Linked DNA regions of Canis lupus familiaris. The protein of the gene in region 1 interacts with the protein of each later gene in a pairwise test. Links are inferred from orthologs where the notes say so. Each region holds a gene or a part of one and is shown on either strand. Other genes may lie near its edges. The genes, in order: CASP10 and RIOK3.

Region 1 (3,816 bases):
GCAAGTTATAGAATATGATTAGCAGGATTTTAGTTAAATATATATTTATCTAGCTATCTACACACATATACATACAAATTGTCTCTTTATATATTCTCCAAACAGTGCAAACAGTGATTATCTCTAGGGAATGGGCTGGCAGTAAATAAACCTTCTTTGAATTTTTATTTTTGGGGCACCTGGGTGGCTCAGTGGTTGAGCGTCTGCCTTTGGCTCAGAGTGTGATCCCAGGGTCCTAGAATCAAGTCCCACATCAGGCTCCTGCACGGAGCCTGCTTCTCCCTCTGCCTATGTCTCTGCATCTTTCTCTGTGTCTCTCATGAATAAATAAATAAAATATTTTTAAAAATTTATTTTTAATTAAGATACATTATCTTTAATAAGAAATTTAAAATAGTAAAGCAAACATCAAGGCTCAAGAAAATTCAGAAAGCTATCCTAGTGGTCCCCAAATACAGCTTGTGTCCTAATCAGATACAATGGACTTTGACTTTGCATCACATTCACTTGCAGAAAAGTCCAAAATCTGCCTACCTACTATCTTTTCAGTCTTTTAGTCCTTCATCCTAAATGGGAGAAATATACACAAGCTCTTAAACCTATACTAAAGTTAATACTGAAATATTGATATCTGATAAATATATATATATGCATATATATATATTTGGTCTTGCCCTCTTTTTCCTGGCACAGAGCTCCTAAAACTCTTGGAATCTCTGAACTGCTAGATTGTCTCTTGCTAATAAGATGTTAATGAGTTGACTGGTAATTGGGGCTCCTGGGTAGCCTCTGGAGGGAGGCAGTGTGCCAGAGGAATAAACCTGTGGTCAGAAAGTTGGAACTTTCAACCCCATACTCAGACCTCTGGGAAGGGAAGAAGAGCCAGAGCTTGAATTAATCATGATGGCCAATGATTTAAATCAATCGTGCCTATATATGAAGCTTCCATATAGAACTCTAACTGAAGGGGCTTGGAGAGCTTCCCGGTTGGTAACTGACGAAAAAGGTACAGTGTTTGTCCCTGAGAAGTTCAATATATGGGGGAAGAGGCATTGCCAAGTAAATTATCTATATGTGAAGGTGCTGGGGAGGTGAGCTGCCTGGAGAGGGCCTGGAAGCCTTATGCCCCTTCCCTCATACCTTGCCCTATGCATTTCTTATATTTGGCTGTTGCTGAGTCAAATCTTTTTATAATAAAAAAGTAATCTAGTAAGTAAACTGTTTTCCTGAGTTCTATGAGTTCTAGCAAATTACTGAACTGAGGACAGGGTCATGGGAACCCTCAGTTTATAGCCAAATGGGACAGAAGCCATGGGTATTCTGGGGACCCATTAATTTGCAACTGGTGTCTGAAGTAGGGGGCACTCTTAGGGCATTGAGCCCTTAACCTAATTGAGTTAAGGTCTGTGCTAACTCTGGTTAGTGTCAGAATTGAATTAAATCGTTAGACACCCCGATGGTATCTGTAGAGAATTAGAGAATTACTTGGTATGGAAAAATCCTACCCATCTATGTCAGAAATGTCCCAGAAGTGTTGGTGTGATAGGAGCAGAGGACAAGTTTGTTTGTTTGTTTTCTTTTGACATCCAAAAGAGATCAACCAGCAGGTAGGTTGTAAAAAAAGAAAAATCAAAATTAGAAATCTTCTGATATAAAGCTCACATCTTAAGACTCACTGAGCCATTTACTACATAAACATTAGAGTATCTTCTCCAGAGTTCAACTACCCAGAACAATCTGACCACCTGCCTGTTTATTTTGTGTGGGGTACTAACTACAGGAAAATGGGAATGTAATCAGAAAAAAAAATCTTAGCATTCAGAGCTCAGTGAGGATTCCAAAAGTACTTTTGATATCAACTCCCAGCTTTTTATTTCTCATTTGATAACTTAGGTTAGAAGAAACATTTTATTCTTCATAACTTCTACTTAAATTATGCATTTATTCATTACTTTAGTTATTTTGGGGGATTTTAGCAATTTAACAACAGTGTATTTTGTTCCTCAACACATTTTGTATTTATAGAATTCTTAGAGAGAAGTTTCCTTTTAGATAGTTTCGTTTTTAACCAAAGACATTTGCACACCAGATTGACTCCCTGAATTAAAATATGGGTGTGGCATAAAGTTTCATGAATATACTCATGCATTTCTATTTCTGGAGAAAAAGAAATGTGGAGAAAAATAACCTGGAAAAACACAAACTTAGTCTATTGATAAATAGTAAGCAAATCATCCAGGTGTTATTTCCATCCTCTGCTATACCTCTAGCATTACTATATTTACAAAACACAATTAAAAAAACAAACAAGGAAATAAAATTCTTCTTCCTCATACTAATTCTAAGAATATGAAAGTTTTCATGACTTTCTGACAAACATATTTATAGCAACATGTTTTATTCTATGCTAGACATGTATTTTTTTAGGAATTACTTCATTTGACCCTCAAAACACCCACGAGGTATGTACTATTATTATCTCCATTTTATGGGTGAGGAAAGTGAAACAGAAAGGCTAAGAAAAGAACCACTGCCCCATTAATAAGTGGAGTCCTGGTAATCTGACTCGCTAGACCTCATTCTTAATCCCCATGCTACCCCACCTCCTTCATTATTTCACTCAAAACAATTTTCTATCTCTCCCCTCCTATAAAAATGAAAAAAAAAGACATTTATCTTTTTTTTTAAGACATTTATTTAAAACTACTTTTCTTCACTAGAATATAAGCTCCAAGATAGCAGGAGCTTTGCTCTATACATCTTCTAGGCACCTTCTAAAACTGTGCCTAGTTCCGAGTATGCATTCATAAATAGGTCTTGAATGAATAGACAGGGAGAGAGTTCTGGCTTTCCCAAGGGAATATTATCAGAGTGATGAGTAAACATCATATACCACCAATTAGTTTAAGAATTTCATGGTCTTAAAAAAAAAAAAAAAATTTCATGGTCTTGTGCAAGCAAATAAGTGTAAGCTACTTACCTTTCTCTCTTTTGTATCTTTCAATCTTTCTTATAAGGTTAGGTACAACTTTTCTACAGAGATCCTCCAGTAACCCCAGATTATCCTCATCTATTAGAGCTTGTTTCTCCAAATATGCCAGGAAACTTAGAGGGGTCTGCAAGAGAATCAATGGAGTCACATTTACTTGCCTTCTGATGATCCATTCATTCTTTAAACATTACTTGCATGGTCTCTAGTCACCAAGTCTCACAATGACGAAAAAGGTACAGTGTTTGTCCCTGAGAAGTTCAATATATGGGGGAAGAGGCATTGCCAAGTAAATTATCTATATTAATAACAAATACCAAATATACATAACTCACTATATACCAGGCATTACTTGCTATATATTACCTCAAAAACAAGCCAATAAAGCTAGATACTATTATAACCCCCATTTTAAAGATGAAATTACTGGAGTTCAACAACTTGTCCAAACTCACAGAGCCAATAAGTGGCAGAGCTGGTATTTGAACCCTGGCAGTCTGATGTCAAAGGCTCTCTTATTAATTATTGAGCTATACGCGCTGTCACTCACATATGTAAATGACATTAGATTAGGGCAGCAGCAAAACAGAGACACCAAAGATACAAAGGGTAAATATTTAGTATTTTAAAAGAAAAAAATTCTTTTTTTTTTTTTTTAAAGAAAAAAATTCTTAAATGCTGCTGGGAAAAATAGCAAATTGGCTAGTATTATTTTAATATTGAATTACATGCAGGGTGGAAGGCACCATAATCTTTTCAGTGAATAGCACTTCTCAGTGTATTAAGCTGGTTATGAGAAAATATATACGAACAAACTTACATCAGAG
Region 2 (4,575 bases), on another chromosome or scaffold:
AATGATCTAAAACAAATACCCAGATTCTTAGTTCAACTTTTGACTTCCTGTCCTTTTTCTTTTTTTAAGGTTTTGTTTATTTATTTACTTGAGAGAGAGAGAGCAAGAGAGGGGGTACAGAGGAAGAAGCAGGCTCCTCACTGAGCAGGGAGCCTAACACAGGGCTCCATCCCAGGATCTCAGAATCATGACCTGAGCCAAAGGCAGACAACCAACTGAGCCACCTAGCTGCCCCTCTATACCTCAACTGTAATCCTTTGAACCTTAAGAGGGAATGTGATTTTCACATACATTCATATATATGGGCAACCTTTGCCAAGAATAAGTCTGTATTCTATCATATAGTTTTGCCTTATTTTAATTTGTAGTTTCTGGAAGATTCAGAACCTGTCCTGCCCTGGAATGGCAAAAATTGTTTGCTAAAGGAAACCATCAAGGTGGGTATCCTAGGGATCTCAAGCATAGACAGTCAGGGGTCCTGGCCCAGAACTGGCAATGCAGGAACATTGTTATGGAGCGTTTCTGTCTGGAACGTCTTAATAGTCAACATGTAGACATATCGAGCCAGTCCCCTAGCCCATGGTGCCTGGGTTCACGACGCATTAGCTTTGCCCCTCCTTAGCCATATGACCTCCAGCAGGTTGCTTCAGTTCTGTGTGCCTACGTTTCATTATTGGTAAAATCAAGATCATGCTAGAAATAGAATGCACCTCTTGTGACTTTTTTTTTTTAAAGGTTTATTTGCTCGTAAGAGACACAGAGAGAGGCAGAGACATAGGCAGAGGGAGGGAGGCAGGCTCACCGAGGAGAGTCTGGTGCGGGACTCGATCCCAAGAGCCCACGATCACGACCTGAGCCAAAGGCAGGCGCTCAACCCCGGAGCCGCCCACGTGCCCCTCTCGTGATTATTTTGAGGACTGAGAGCTAATACAGTACTTTGAACAAAGCACGAACATAGTAAGTGAAATGTAACGCCTAGCTGTTTTTATCCGGTCACTTTAGGAGAATCTACAAAACACCAATCAAAGCTTTTATTAGGCAGTCCTATTTTTTGCTTAATGTTCTTTTTTTTTTTTTTTTAATTTATTTATGATAGTCATACAGAGAGAGAGAGAGGCAGAGACACAGGCAGAGGGAGAAGCAGGCTCCATGCACCGGGAGCCCGACGTGGGATTCGATCCCGGGTCTCCAGGATCGCGCCCTGGGCCAAAGGCAGGCGCCAAACCGCTGCGCCACCCAGGGATCCCTGCTTAATGTTCTTTAACGCATCTTACAAATTTTCACCTTTTTATGCCCCGCTTCCTAACGGCAAACTGCCGTAACAACAACATCGGACCCCTCTGCTCCCGCTATTTTCTGTCCCCCGTACCATCCCAGACCAGAACTAGCCCCGAAAACAACGAAGGAACGGAAGAAGCCTCGTTTGTTTGTTGTTATACCCGGAGTAACACGCAGCCTCGGTTTAACGAGCTCCAGATGCTGTCTCGGGCAGGCAGGTGGGGAAGGAAGGAGAAGGAGGTGCGGGAACACGGCGCAGTCCGGCCAGAGGAAGCCACACCCGCCGCCGGCTCCGTCCGGCACCGGCCACCGCGGCCGCAAGTCAAAGCCCGCGGCGTGGACAGACCCGGCCGGAGGCAGCGGCCGGAAGTGCGGCGCGCCGGGGGCGGGGAAAGGAGGCCAGACCGGGGCGGGCAGCCTATCAGAAGCGAGGGTCCCGGCGGAGAGGGCGGAAGAGAAGAGATGTAGTTCCGGCCGCGGCCGCGCCGCCATCTGTCACCTCAGCTCCGGCGCCCGCCGCGCGTCGCCCCAGCCCCGCCGCCTGTCTCCTCGGAGGAGGCTGTTTCCCGGTCCTGCCATCTGTCTGCCCTGTGTCCTCGTTGCTGGCTTCTCTTCCAACATGGATCTGGTCGGAGTGGCATCTCCTGAGCCGAGGCCCGCAGCAGCCTGGGGACCCAGCAAGGTGAGTGGCGGTCGGAGCTGACGCACCTGCCTTGGGTACCCGCGCTGGTCCTCTCAGGAGGCCCGGAGAAAGTGTCAGGCGCCCGGGCGGCTCGGCCGGCGACTCGGGAGGGTGGGGCACGGGTAGCGGGGCTGCCAGTGGCCGCTGTCGGCGGTTGGGGCTCGCTCTCGAGTTCTGCGCCTCGACTCCTGAACCTCCCTAGCAGCTGTCTGGGCCGGGCCCGGTTAGAGGCTCTGACGTTTGAGGGGAAACAAGCATGATCTTGTTTGTCACCGGCCGAGCGAGTCAGCCGAGTAATGCACGGAAAGCCCGACGGGAAGGACACATTGGCAGCTGTTTCCTTAACTTGACAAATGCGGTTATCCGACTTGGGCAATTTCTCGTTTTTGAAGCAGTGAATATTGGGTAAGTCCAGGGCTGATACTCCTCTCCCCCGGGCTGATACTCAGGTGTACACTACCTACTGTGGGAAAAAAAAAAAAAAAAAAAAAAAAAAAAGGTTATGAGTTCTTATTATCTGCATAGGCTTTCAGGTTTAAACTCTTTTTCTGTATTAACCACCTATTACGTTTATTTCACATTTGGTTTTTGGTTTTCAGACTGCCCCTTTGCATGATAATTTTGTCAGAGGGATGAAAAGACTCTTCTGCCGCTTTATTGAGGGTTTGTTTGAAAGCAGGATTGCTTCAAATTAAGGGATGCTTCAACTGGGATGTTGTGTTCCTCAAATTAAGGTTGGAAGGAGTCCAACTTTTATTAGCTTCCTAATTGTTTTTCACTTGCTGTCACGGAATATTTGTTCCTTTTAAAGGATCACTTGTTTTTTATTTATTTATTTATTTATTTATTTATTTATTTATTTATTTATTTTTGGATCACTTGTTTTATTAGATCTTTAGGCTAGGTCGTCTTCTTCTTCTTCTTCTTATATTTTTATTTATTTATTCATGAGAGACACAGAGAGAGAGAGAGAGGCAGAGACACAGGCAGAGGGAGAAGCAGGCTCCATGCAGGGAGCCCGACGTGGGACTCCCATCCCGGGTCTCAAGGGTCATGCCCTGGGCTGAAGGTGGTGCTAAACCGCTGAGCCACCGGGCTGCCCTGAAAGTTTAATTAAAGTTAACTTTATGAAAGTTCTCATACAACTATAGGGAGAATTTAAAATAATCTATTGGCAAATGTTGTATCTACGTGTTATTTTGTGTCATTTCCTTCTATTAAGCCTTGTTTATGAGGCCAAGACCAGTAGACATAAAAAGAAAATTAGTAGCCAGATACTAATAAATATATGCTTTATATGTTAAGTTCTTACAGTTAAGCACCTAAAGGCTGATTAAAATGTCAAATAAAAAAAAAATGTCAAATGAGACAAACATTGCTCAGAATACCTAATGTCAGGGCATCCCTGGTGGCCCAGCAGTTTCGCACCGCCTTCAGCCCCAGATGTGATCCTAGAGTCCCAGGATCGAGTCCCACATCAAGCTCCCTGCATGGAGCCTGCTTCTCCCTCTGCCTGTGTCTCTGTCTCTCTCTCTCTCTCTCTCTCTCTCTCCCTCCCTCTCTGTCTGTCATGAATAAATAAATAAAATCTTAAAAAAAAAAAAAAGAAGGGCAGCCCCGGTGGTATAGCAGTTTAGCGCTGCTTGCAGCCCAGGGCGTGATCCTGGAGACCCTGGATCGAGTCCCACATCAGGCTCTCTGTATGATGCCTGCTTCTCCCTCTGCCTGTGTCTCTGCCTCTCTCTCTCTCTGTCTCTATGAATAAATAAATAAAATCTTTAATAAAAAAAAAGAATACCTAATGTCAGTATATGTGCTGTCAAAGCGAGCGCTAGAATACCTAATGTCAGAACAAATTTCACTTACAAAACTAATAATAAAATATTTGTTGTCATATTTTCATTTAAGTATGCATCATCAGAAATATAAAATTTCATTTTCATCATTTAACAAAAAGAATGATCCTGGAATTTATTGATGTTCTACTGGAAGACAGCATTTTCACAGACCAAACAGTTAGTTAGGCTGTATGTATTTCTTAATGCTTTCTTCCTCCAATCTCTTGGAAGACCTAAGGGATTATCGAAGGCTTCGTGGAGGTGGAGATTTGAGGAAGGTCTTGAAAAATGGAAAGAGTGCCAAAGGCCAGCGATTCTCAAAACTTTTTGGTCAGGATGAATTTATACTCTAAAATATCATTGAGGACACCAAAGAATTTTTGTTTATATCAGTTACATCTTTTAATATTTGTCATATCAGAAAGAAAAGTGAAATAGTGAAGAATTTTTTATTAGGTGATTTCAAAGTCATCATATGTTAATACAAATATAATTTTCATTTGTAACCCCCCCATTTTCTAAAAAAAAAAACAAACAAAAATAGTGGTTTAGTATTGTATTTTTGCAAATCTCTTTAATGTCTGATTTTTTTTTTTTGAGATTTTATTTTTTTGAGAGAGAGAGAGCAAGCAAGCAAAGAGCATGAGTGGAGGGAGGGGCAGAGGGAGAGGGAGCCTGACTAGGGGTTCCAACCTAGGACCTCAGGATCATGACCTGAGCCAAAGGCAGATACTTAACCAACTGAGCCTTCCAGGCATCCCTAATGTCTGATTTAAT

The links.
Region 2: the proteins of CASP10 (region 1) and RIOK3 interact in binary tests that used the Homo sapiens proteins (3 or more experiments, as listed by UniProt). The link is inferred for Canis lupus familiaris from reciprocal best matches to the Homo sapiens genes CASP10 and RIOK3.

The regions. Positions count from the first base shown.
Region 1 is NC_049258.1:10,183,702-10,187,517, reverse strand, and holds part of CASP10 (caspase-10), read right to left. Parts: intron 3,117-3,816; coding exon 2,981-3,116; intron 1-2,980. UniProt on the Homo sapiens protein: Involved in the activation cascade of caspases responsible for apoptosis execution. Recruited to both Fas- and TNFR-1 receptors in a FADD dependent manner. May participate in the granzyme B apoptotic pathways.
Region 2 is NC_049228.1:64,910,031-64,914,605, reverse strand, and holds the start of RIOK3 (serine/threonine-protein kinase RIO3), read left to right. Parts: upstream 1-1,728; 5' UTR 1,729-1,897; coding exon 1,898-1,960; intron 1,961-2,203; exon of another isoform or gene 2,204-2,365; intron 2,366-4,575.